2 linked regions of the Mus musculus genome follow. The protein of the gene in region 1 interacts with the protein of each later gene in a biochemical or structural test. Links are inferred from orthologs where the notes say so. Each region holds a gene or a part of one and is shown on either strand. Other genes may lie near its edges.

Evidence for each region. The genes of interacting proteins can lie anywhere in the genome.
Region 2: the proteins of Tnks (region 1) and Tnks1bp1 form a complex in vitro, tested with the Homo sapiens proteins (2 studies listed by BioGRID). The link is inferred for Mus musculus from reciprocal best matches to the Homo sapiens genes TNKS and TNKS1BP1.

Annotation. Positions count from the first base shown.
Region 1 is NC_000074.6:34,853,978-34,857,863, forward strand, and holds part of Tnks (poly [ADP-ribose] polymerase tankyrase-1), read right to left. Parts: intron 3,557-3,886; coding exon 3,477-3,556; intron 2,097-3,476; coding exon 1,951-2,096; intron 1-1,950.
Region 2 is NC_000068.7:85,049,070-85,053,492, reverse strand, and holds the start of Tnks1bp1 (182 kDa tankyrase-1-binding protein), read right to left. Parts: upstream 3,034-4,423; 5' UTR 2,933-3,033; intron 2,633-2,932; 5' UTR 2,614-2,632; coding exon 2,520-2,613; intron 1,569-2,519; coding exon 938-1,568; intron 1-937.

The DNA of each region.
Region 1 (3,886 bases):
TGTGTTTGTGTGTGTGTGTGTGTGTGTGTATATCACTCATAGAATTTTAAAAAATACTTTATTTCTGGTAGCACTAGGATTAAGAGTCAGGGTCTCCCGCATGCTAGTGGCACTCTACCACTGAGCTATACACACCCAGACCTCTCAGTTTAAATATAGGTTTTCCTATACTCATTCCATAAGCCAAGCAGGCACCAAGTTCAAATCCTACTGCCTCAGCCTCCCAAATGGCTGGGACCCCAGGTCTGCGTAACACAATCCTTTCAATTCTTACTTGTACCCTAGCAATATAAAGTCCTGTATACTACAAAGTATTAGCACACATAATTAACCAATCTACTTTTTATCATCTCTCAGATTTTCTTTGATTTGTATTTTACTAATGAAAATTGCCAGCTTACTCATGATACACAATATAAAATAATGTAATATATAACACATAAACACAATACATTCTACTTATTCAGTTTGTATCTTTCACCATTTGTTTTAGTTATTTTTAAGTTCATAATGATTCGAGAGCGGTTTCTCTGCATGACTTAAATATTGAGGTACAAAGCAATGGAAACTCAAAGTGATTTCAGAAGAGAATTCACACTGGCCATAGTAGTGCATGCCTTTAATCCTAGAATTAAGGAGGCAGAGGCAGGAAGATCTCTCTGAATTTGTAGCCACCCTGGTCTACATAGCAAGTTTCAGGCCAGCCAGAGATACAGAAAACCTTTGTCTCAAACAAACTCCATCTAAAAAAGAAGAATATCATCAAGGAAAATAAAATTCAATTATAAATTCTACTCAGCTAAGAGAATCTAAACCTCTCATCTTCTGAGTAAGCTCCTTCAAAGAAAGCAGGTGACATTCTAAAAGGCAGCACAAAAAAAGACACCCTCTCAAGAGCCGTGCACTGAAGGCAGCGTACGTGGACGTAGGACATGTAAAAACAATCAGTTATGCAGTGACTCTTTAGAGATTAGTGTCATCTACAACAAAGGCTTGATGATGACACATGCCAGTACTAAACTAAGTCATAGAAGCAACACTGGCTGCTCTCCAACGCATTGCAGTACTTTGAAACAACCAGTGAGGGGTTCTGAATCGTCATGCATGGTGCATGGCTTGAGAAAGATAAAACACTTAACAGTTACTCAAAGCCTGAGCTACATCTTTTTACTTATGGCGCAATGCTGAGTAAGTGCACAAAATGGGGCCCCCTCATCTGAGCAGCTATTAAACTGACTCAGGATACAGAAATTGATTTTGGTTACTATTCTTAGATTTATAAGTAGCCACTTTAAAAGTTTTACCTGGTGTATCAAGTAATTCATCTAATATAAAAATGTCAATAACTTAAATGAGCAGAATCGAAATTATATTTCTATTATAATTGTGGGATGGATTAAATTCTTAGAAGAATTTTTTAATAGCAAAAAAAATAATGAAAGGATAAACAGTAAATTACAGATTACATGAAAATATTCGTAAAGGAAATAAAATCCTATACACAGGCATGAAAGGATGCACCAAATTGGAAGACACAGTGCAAGAACAGGTGATGACCAGAGCAGACTGGAAAGGCATCCTCACCCAGGCACCGAGCCAAGAGACATGGTCACAGTCCAAGTGACTGCCAGCTGCTGGACACAGCTCAGGACAGAGCTGGCCGACTGTAATAGGCAAACTGTTCATGTTCTAACTTTAGGGTGACCGATGACTCAATCTTCAATTTCAATATGTATGTCTATTTAAGTAGTAATTTAAATGAATCATGTATATATTTTAATAAGAAAAGCATCTACGACACTAAAAACAGCAATATTTAAAAAAGCAGTATGTCATTTGTAAATTTTTTGTTCCAAAGAAAACAGCTATATTCTGTAGATAAAAAGTATGCGATTTTATTTAATTTTATGTACTTTATCTAAGTATGAATGGATTTGCACATTCACATACCCTTTGTCTTTGGCATGGACATCAGCTCCATGATGTAGAAGGTACTCAACGACAGACACACGGTTATAGCCTGCAGCGAAGTGTAAGGGTGTAGAGTGCCGGCCCTCCAGGTCTCTGCAGTTCACATTCTGCGGGCTGCAGAGTTGCTTTTGTGGTGTACACACAGACACAGAGTCAGAGACAACACCATTAACAATCGTTCATAGACTTTGCTCTAAACTGGGCAGCATTTTAAAATACTATAATGAGATAGTAAATATTCTCTACAGATGAGATGTATAAAAATCAGCACCATAGCCAGACATGGTGAGGCATACCTAAAAGTCCCTGAGCTGGAGAAGGTGACAGAGAATGACCTCCAATTTGGGGCCAGTGCGGGTTACGCAGTGAGTCTGAGGGCAGTCTGGGCCACATGATGTTTCAGAAAGCCCCAAAGGAGAATCTGCATTATGTTTGGCATTACTGTGACAGCAGAGCTGAGTGTACAGAGGAATTTAGTATTTGTTGGAGACCCTAGTCCAGTCCCTAACCTAACCGATATCCAAGGGCAGCCAAGGAAGCCTCCCGTCTCATCCATGTCCATCTCCCTCCCTCCCTGAGACTCCTCACAGATGCATCCTGTGGTATGCTTAGTTTGGTCTCTGCTCAAATCAGACCAACCTGAGCTGACTACATGGAACCAAAGAACCTAAAGAGAGTTCCCGTCTCCTTGAGTGTGGGTCAAGAGACACGTGCTCTCTAAGTCCCACAATTTTGTGATTCTAGTCATTCTTTGATGAATGTCAGAACAATTTTATATCCTGTTTTTCAAATTTTAAAATACTTTAAACAGAGAAGCAGAGAGGAAGGGGAGGAGAGAGCACCACTCTTATAGTACAGGCTATCCCAGAATGCACAAGGATCCTCATGGCTCGGCTTTCCGAAGGGATGAAAGGCATGAGCTAACACACCCAGCTAACTTCTATTTCTTAGCTTTTGAGAAAAAACATACCAGACCTAATTCTCAATTTGTATGCCTTCTTTAGACACTTACACTCCACTGTCAAAAATAAAATTTTCTCTTAATGTGAATGCATTGTTTAGCAACTTGAAAGCACATTTTGCCTACTTGCACACAAATATATGAAATTAAAATTTGTGTTCTGGCCAGTAAGATGGCTCATGGGAGTAAAGGTACGTTCGGCCAAGCCCGGCAGCTTGAATTCAATTCACAGGTTGCCCGTGGTGGAAGGAGATAACTGATTCCTTTGACTTTACATATGCACCATGGCACATGTGCACACATGCTCATGCATGCACATATAGAGTAAAGTTCATGCTATTATATGTAATAAAAATGTATGTGTCTATCTTATTTTATTTTATGGTTTAGGTGCTATAAGGACATACTAGGAGAAATCTTGGTAGTACTCTTCTTTGTGTAGATGTACCCTGCCCATTGTTCTACTATGAGTCCCTTCGTTTAGATCCATTTAAGTGAGGTGGGCAGCGCGAGTCCAACAGCCTTGGTGAAGGCGCTGACTTACCTTCACAGTTTCCAAGTCACCAGCTTTCGATGCCTCTAAGAGACGATAGTCCACGTCCGAAGTGCGCATAGGAGTACTCTCTGTATCAAAGGAGGGAAAGACTACTGTTGGAGAAAGTTATGCAAGGAAGACTGCTTAATGAGGGAAAAGAGATTATGGGTCGGACATTACTGTGATATAATGGCTCCTTCCTCCATCTTACATAAGAAATACTTTTTTACTTTTTACTTCAATGTATATCTCATCTAAGTCAAATTTAAATATATCATAACATAGAGAACACTTCATACCCTACCACTCTAGTCATCACACGCTCAGGTTAGACTGTTTCCTAGGAGAGTAAGGAAAGCTGGAACCAGGAGACCAAAAGTAGGCCCAGCCTTTGCAATGCCTGTGTATGGGAGAAGACA
Region 2 (4,423 bases), on another chromosome or scaffold:
GCAGGGCAGGGCAGGGCAGGGCAGGGCAGGGCAGGGCAGGGCAGGGCAGGGCAGGGCAGGGCCTTCAGCTCCAGGCTCAGTGCAGACCACAACAGGCCTGGCCACCACAGTGGGAGAGGGAAGCCAACCACTGGGCCTAGCTCTGCATGCTTCAGGCTGGTGCTCTCTTGTCCCGAAAAGCCTGAGGTGGCCAAATCCCTCATGTCCCTCCAGATCATGTGTCCACTAACCCAAGGAGGCCTCCCTTACATGCAGGCCGGCTATGGGTAAGAAGTGCAACTGAGAAAATGTCTCCAAATAGAAGAATTCTCTATGCAGAAATTAGTTGAAGCGCATCACACTCCTCCTCAGAGGGGAAATCTGTACTGTACAGATTCCAACATACCCCTCCCTGAGGTCCCCGCATGGTGCTCTGCCACATGAGACCTAGCAGTTAAGATCACAGGTTTTAGAATCATACACATCGGGATTTAAATTGAGAGACTCCAGGAAGTCACTCTGGAGCCTTGATTTTCCAATCTCTAAAATGGACTTATCAATCCCTTCCTCCAAATAGCACGGATATGTACTCAATGGACTACAAACTAGTCTGCTGAATAGTATGCCTCTCTAGCATAACACGTATCAACTCTGTAAAGAGAACTACAGTGGGCTGGGGATGTAGCTCAATGATAAAGCACTTGTCTAGCATGAACAAGGCCCTGGGTTCAATTCCTAACACTACACATGCACCACAGACACAGACTCACACACACACACAGAGAGAGAGAGAAGTAACTCCACCATTTGCTACAGAGATGCTCTGGGCCTTAGCCTGGGTTTGCCTGAATTCACCTAAGTAACCTGACAGTAAAGATGATAACCCAAACTTGAGCCCACTTCCTCCATAGCCCCTTTAAGACTTCAAGGAACTATACAAACTCTTCTCAGCCCTTACCTCTCCTCAGGAGTCTTGCTATGCTCTTCCTGGCACTCTGCAGGAATCTCTGCTGTCCCCTCCTGGGACCGTCCTTTGGCAGGGGACTTACTATCCTCCTCTCTGGGGCAGGGGGCACCATAGGTCCTGGGGCCATATCGAGAGCTGCCATCGTGGTTAAAAGTGAGGCGGGAGCCCCAGAGGCGGTCAGGGCTGGCCAGGATCTCTTTCCGTGGCTGCTCCATCTTGGCCAAAATTTCTTCTACTGTACAGGCTGCAAACCGCTCAGAGGAGGGACGGAAAGGGGCAGGGGCCTTCCTCACACCTCCCAGGGCAGCGCACCGAGCTGGGGGTGTGAGAGGGGGCAAGTCTTCTTTCCCAGCATCCTCCTTCCCAGACTCTTGGGTAACGTCTCCTCCAGCGGTTGCTTCAGCTGAAGGCCTTGGTGCAAACGGGAGGGGACGCTTGCTGACCCCATAGGGCTGAGGTCCTGCCAGCATGTTCATCTTCCGGGCAGAAGGCAGCTCAGCCAGGGGACCCCGAGGAGGGCGAGGCCCAACAGGCACCAGGAGGCTGGGTTTGGCAGGCAGAGCTGGCTTGCTGGGCAAGCCCCGGGGTTTGGGCTTGACAGGGGGCTTGGCTCGTGGGTCACCTTCGGAAGGAAGGATTCATTAGGAACTGTCAGAAGAACCATGAGACATAAATTCTTGTGACTCCTGCTGCACCGAATCTTCCACACTCCAACCTTGGAACCCATCGTTCTAGGTGCAAGTCAGTACCGCCTGTTCCAGGAAGGCTTCCTTGGTTTTTCACATCCCATTATATAGCCTACCTTCTCCAAACTCCTACAACGTGGGCTTTGACCCCTTATCCCTCTAGCATCCTATTTTGCTCCTAACACAGGTTCCTATCGAATGAATGAATGGAGCAGATAAGCATACCCACTTGCCTGGCCTCACCATACTGTCAGCCTGGGAACCCGATGGAGCCCTATTTCTTTACACCACATTTCCATAGTGAAGTTTTGACCCTAGCTGAGCTCCCCTTGTACACCCTGCTGCACCTCTTCCTCTTGCCACCTCAGTCATCCAGTTCATTATCAGGAATGCAAGCTTTCTATTGACCTATGTCAAACAGAAGTAAATCTGCCACAGGAAGGAAGAAGGAAAAAAAAAAAAAAAAAACAAGGGCAGAAATCCACCTTCTATATAAGGCATTGTAATGCCAAATAAAAGACCTTGGGAATTACTCACGGCCACAACCTTCTATAATAGAATCTTGTATCACCCACTCATTCAGCTAAGCATTTAAAAAGTCTAGACAGGGAGAAAGAAGGGCACTCCATTCTCCTTCTGTGCCTCAGTGTCTCCTCCTCCAAGGCTCCCTGGAGTTGTCTCAAAGGCTCTGCTTCCATACCGGCTGGGGCTCTACCTCACTCCCACCAGATGCCAAGGCCCGTGAGCACTCATTTCAGACTCACTGCCTCTCACCTCCACTGTCACTCCAGCTACCTGCCGGGACGGAAGAGGGGTGCAGCCTCCACCCCACCCCCGGCCCTCCTCCCAGCCAACGGCCCCACCCTGCACCCAGCACCCATTGGTACCTGGCTCGGAGCCAACAGGCGCCAGCTCCTCCTCCATATCCTGGGGCAGTGGGGAAGCCATGGCTGTGCCTTCCCTGAGAGTGGATCCTTTCATCACATAGGGCACACCCTGCCTGAGAAATAGGAAGCAGTGTGAGCCGGCCGAAGTGACTGAAGACCCAGGGAAGGGAGAGGTGGAGAAGGGAAAGCTGAGAAAGGCAACAGGCTTAGCCAAGGAAGTCTATTTCTAACCCAGGCAGTGTGGGACAGGAAGAGCGAACTCCAGGGGGAGGCCGGGAAGGTTCCCACAGCCACATCCTCAACTCTTGACACGACTCTCCAACCCTTGGCTCTGAACCTCAGTGATCCAGCACAGGAGGGAGCCACCTCCACCCACACCACCCCCAGGATCCGTCCTGTGATACCCTACTTACAGCTCCTGAGGCAACCCTCTCGGGTCAGGGAGCCCCACTAGAGGTGTCCACTCTGAGCGGAGCAAGAAGGCCAGAAACTCTCAAGTCTCTGGAATCACCTCATGGGACGGGAAAAACCCGCTCCTCCCCAACCTGGGGCTCCGCCCCACAGCCGGCCCCCCTCTTCCCATTCTCCTCCCTCCCTCCACGGCTGGGAGTGGCTCCCTACCCCCCCCCCATTCTCCTTTCACATCCCTGCCCCCCTCCAGCACTCAAGAGCTGTCTCATCCAAACACAGGGACATAAGAAATAAAAAGTAAGCATCTGGAATACATTTTTTTCCCTTTAATTTCTCAATCGTTTTGGCTTCAGCTTGGAATTTGATGAGGTAAAGCCAGGGCCTAGTCCTGTTACCATAGCAATGGCCTCCCACTGGATTTCCAGGGCCTAGCCAAGGGGAAGGAGGAGCCGGCCCAGGATGGGCAGGGAGGACAGACTGGGCTTGATTGCTTGTGGGGTGGGGGGTGTAACTGAGAGGAAAACTCCCTGGGGTTGCCCCTTCCAGGACAGTCAGGGAGGGACCTGCAAAAGCCTGTGACATAGGAATGGGTGTGCACCCTAAAGGAGTTTTGAGGGGTCAGAAGAAACTAAACCAGATGATAGCCACATGGTAGTAGCCTGTGCCAGGAGCCTCTGGAGCTGATATTGTAAGATCTAACAACTAAATGGGTCTGTCACTTCAGAGCTGTGCGACTAGTCTAAGGCATACTGCTTAAAAAAAAAAAAAAGTATTAAATGAGTTTCAAGTCAAACAATGCATGCAAAATACCAAGCCTGGAAGTGGTAAGTAACAGTTGGCCATTATTAATGTGACTCCATTCAGTGTCTCCCATGAGCTAACTAGCATCCTTGGTAACCACCTCTACCTACCTCTCCCCCTACCGTAGGCTGCGTCTCTAGACCATTCCTTCATGTCCCCCCCACCTCAAATTCTTCAGGCCTTCCACCCCCTCAGTTCCCACCCTGGCTGCTGAAGCACCCTCCCACTCTCAAGCCCCCCCTCCGGCTCTGGTGGTGACTAGTGAACACTGCTCCTCTGGTTCAAGAGCAAGGGAGACATGCCAAACACATGGAATGCACAGAGCCCTGGAGGGCAACCCAACCCTCTCCAACCTCAAGGCTCCCCTCCCACTCCAGCTGCTCTGAGAAGACAGTTCTCAATTCTAAGAGACCTGTGGTGCCCAGCCTTTGCAAAAGATGTCCCCATCCGCTTGACCCTGTCCCAGCTTATTTAAAGAGGGTACAGACAGTAACTCCGTCAATGTCAAAAGGCTGATCAGCCAACTACCAGGGGCTGTTTTCCTTGTATGTGGGTGAATAACGCTTGAAGGCGGAGAGATGACAGAAAAATTAAATTAAATTAAAAATATATACAAGATTGCTTGCTTGTCCTTGAACATTATTACAAGGGATATGGTGAAGGTGGTTAGAAATGGAGAAAAACTAGTCCAA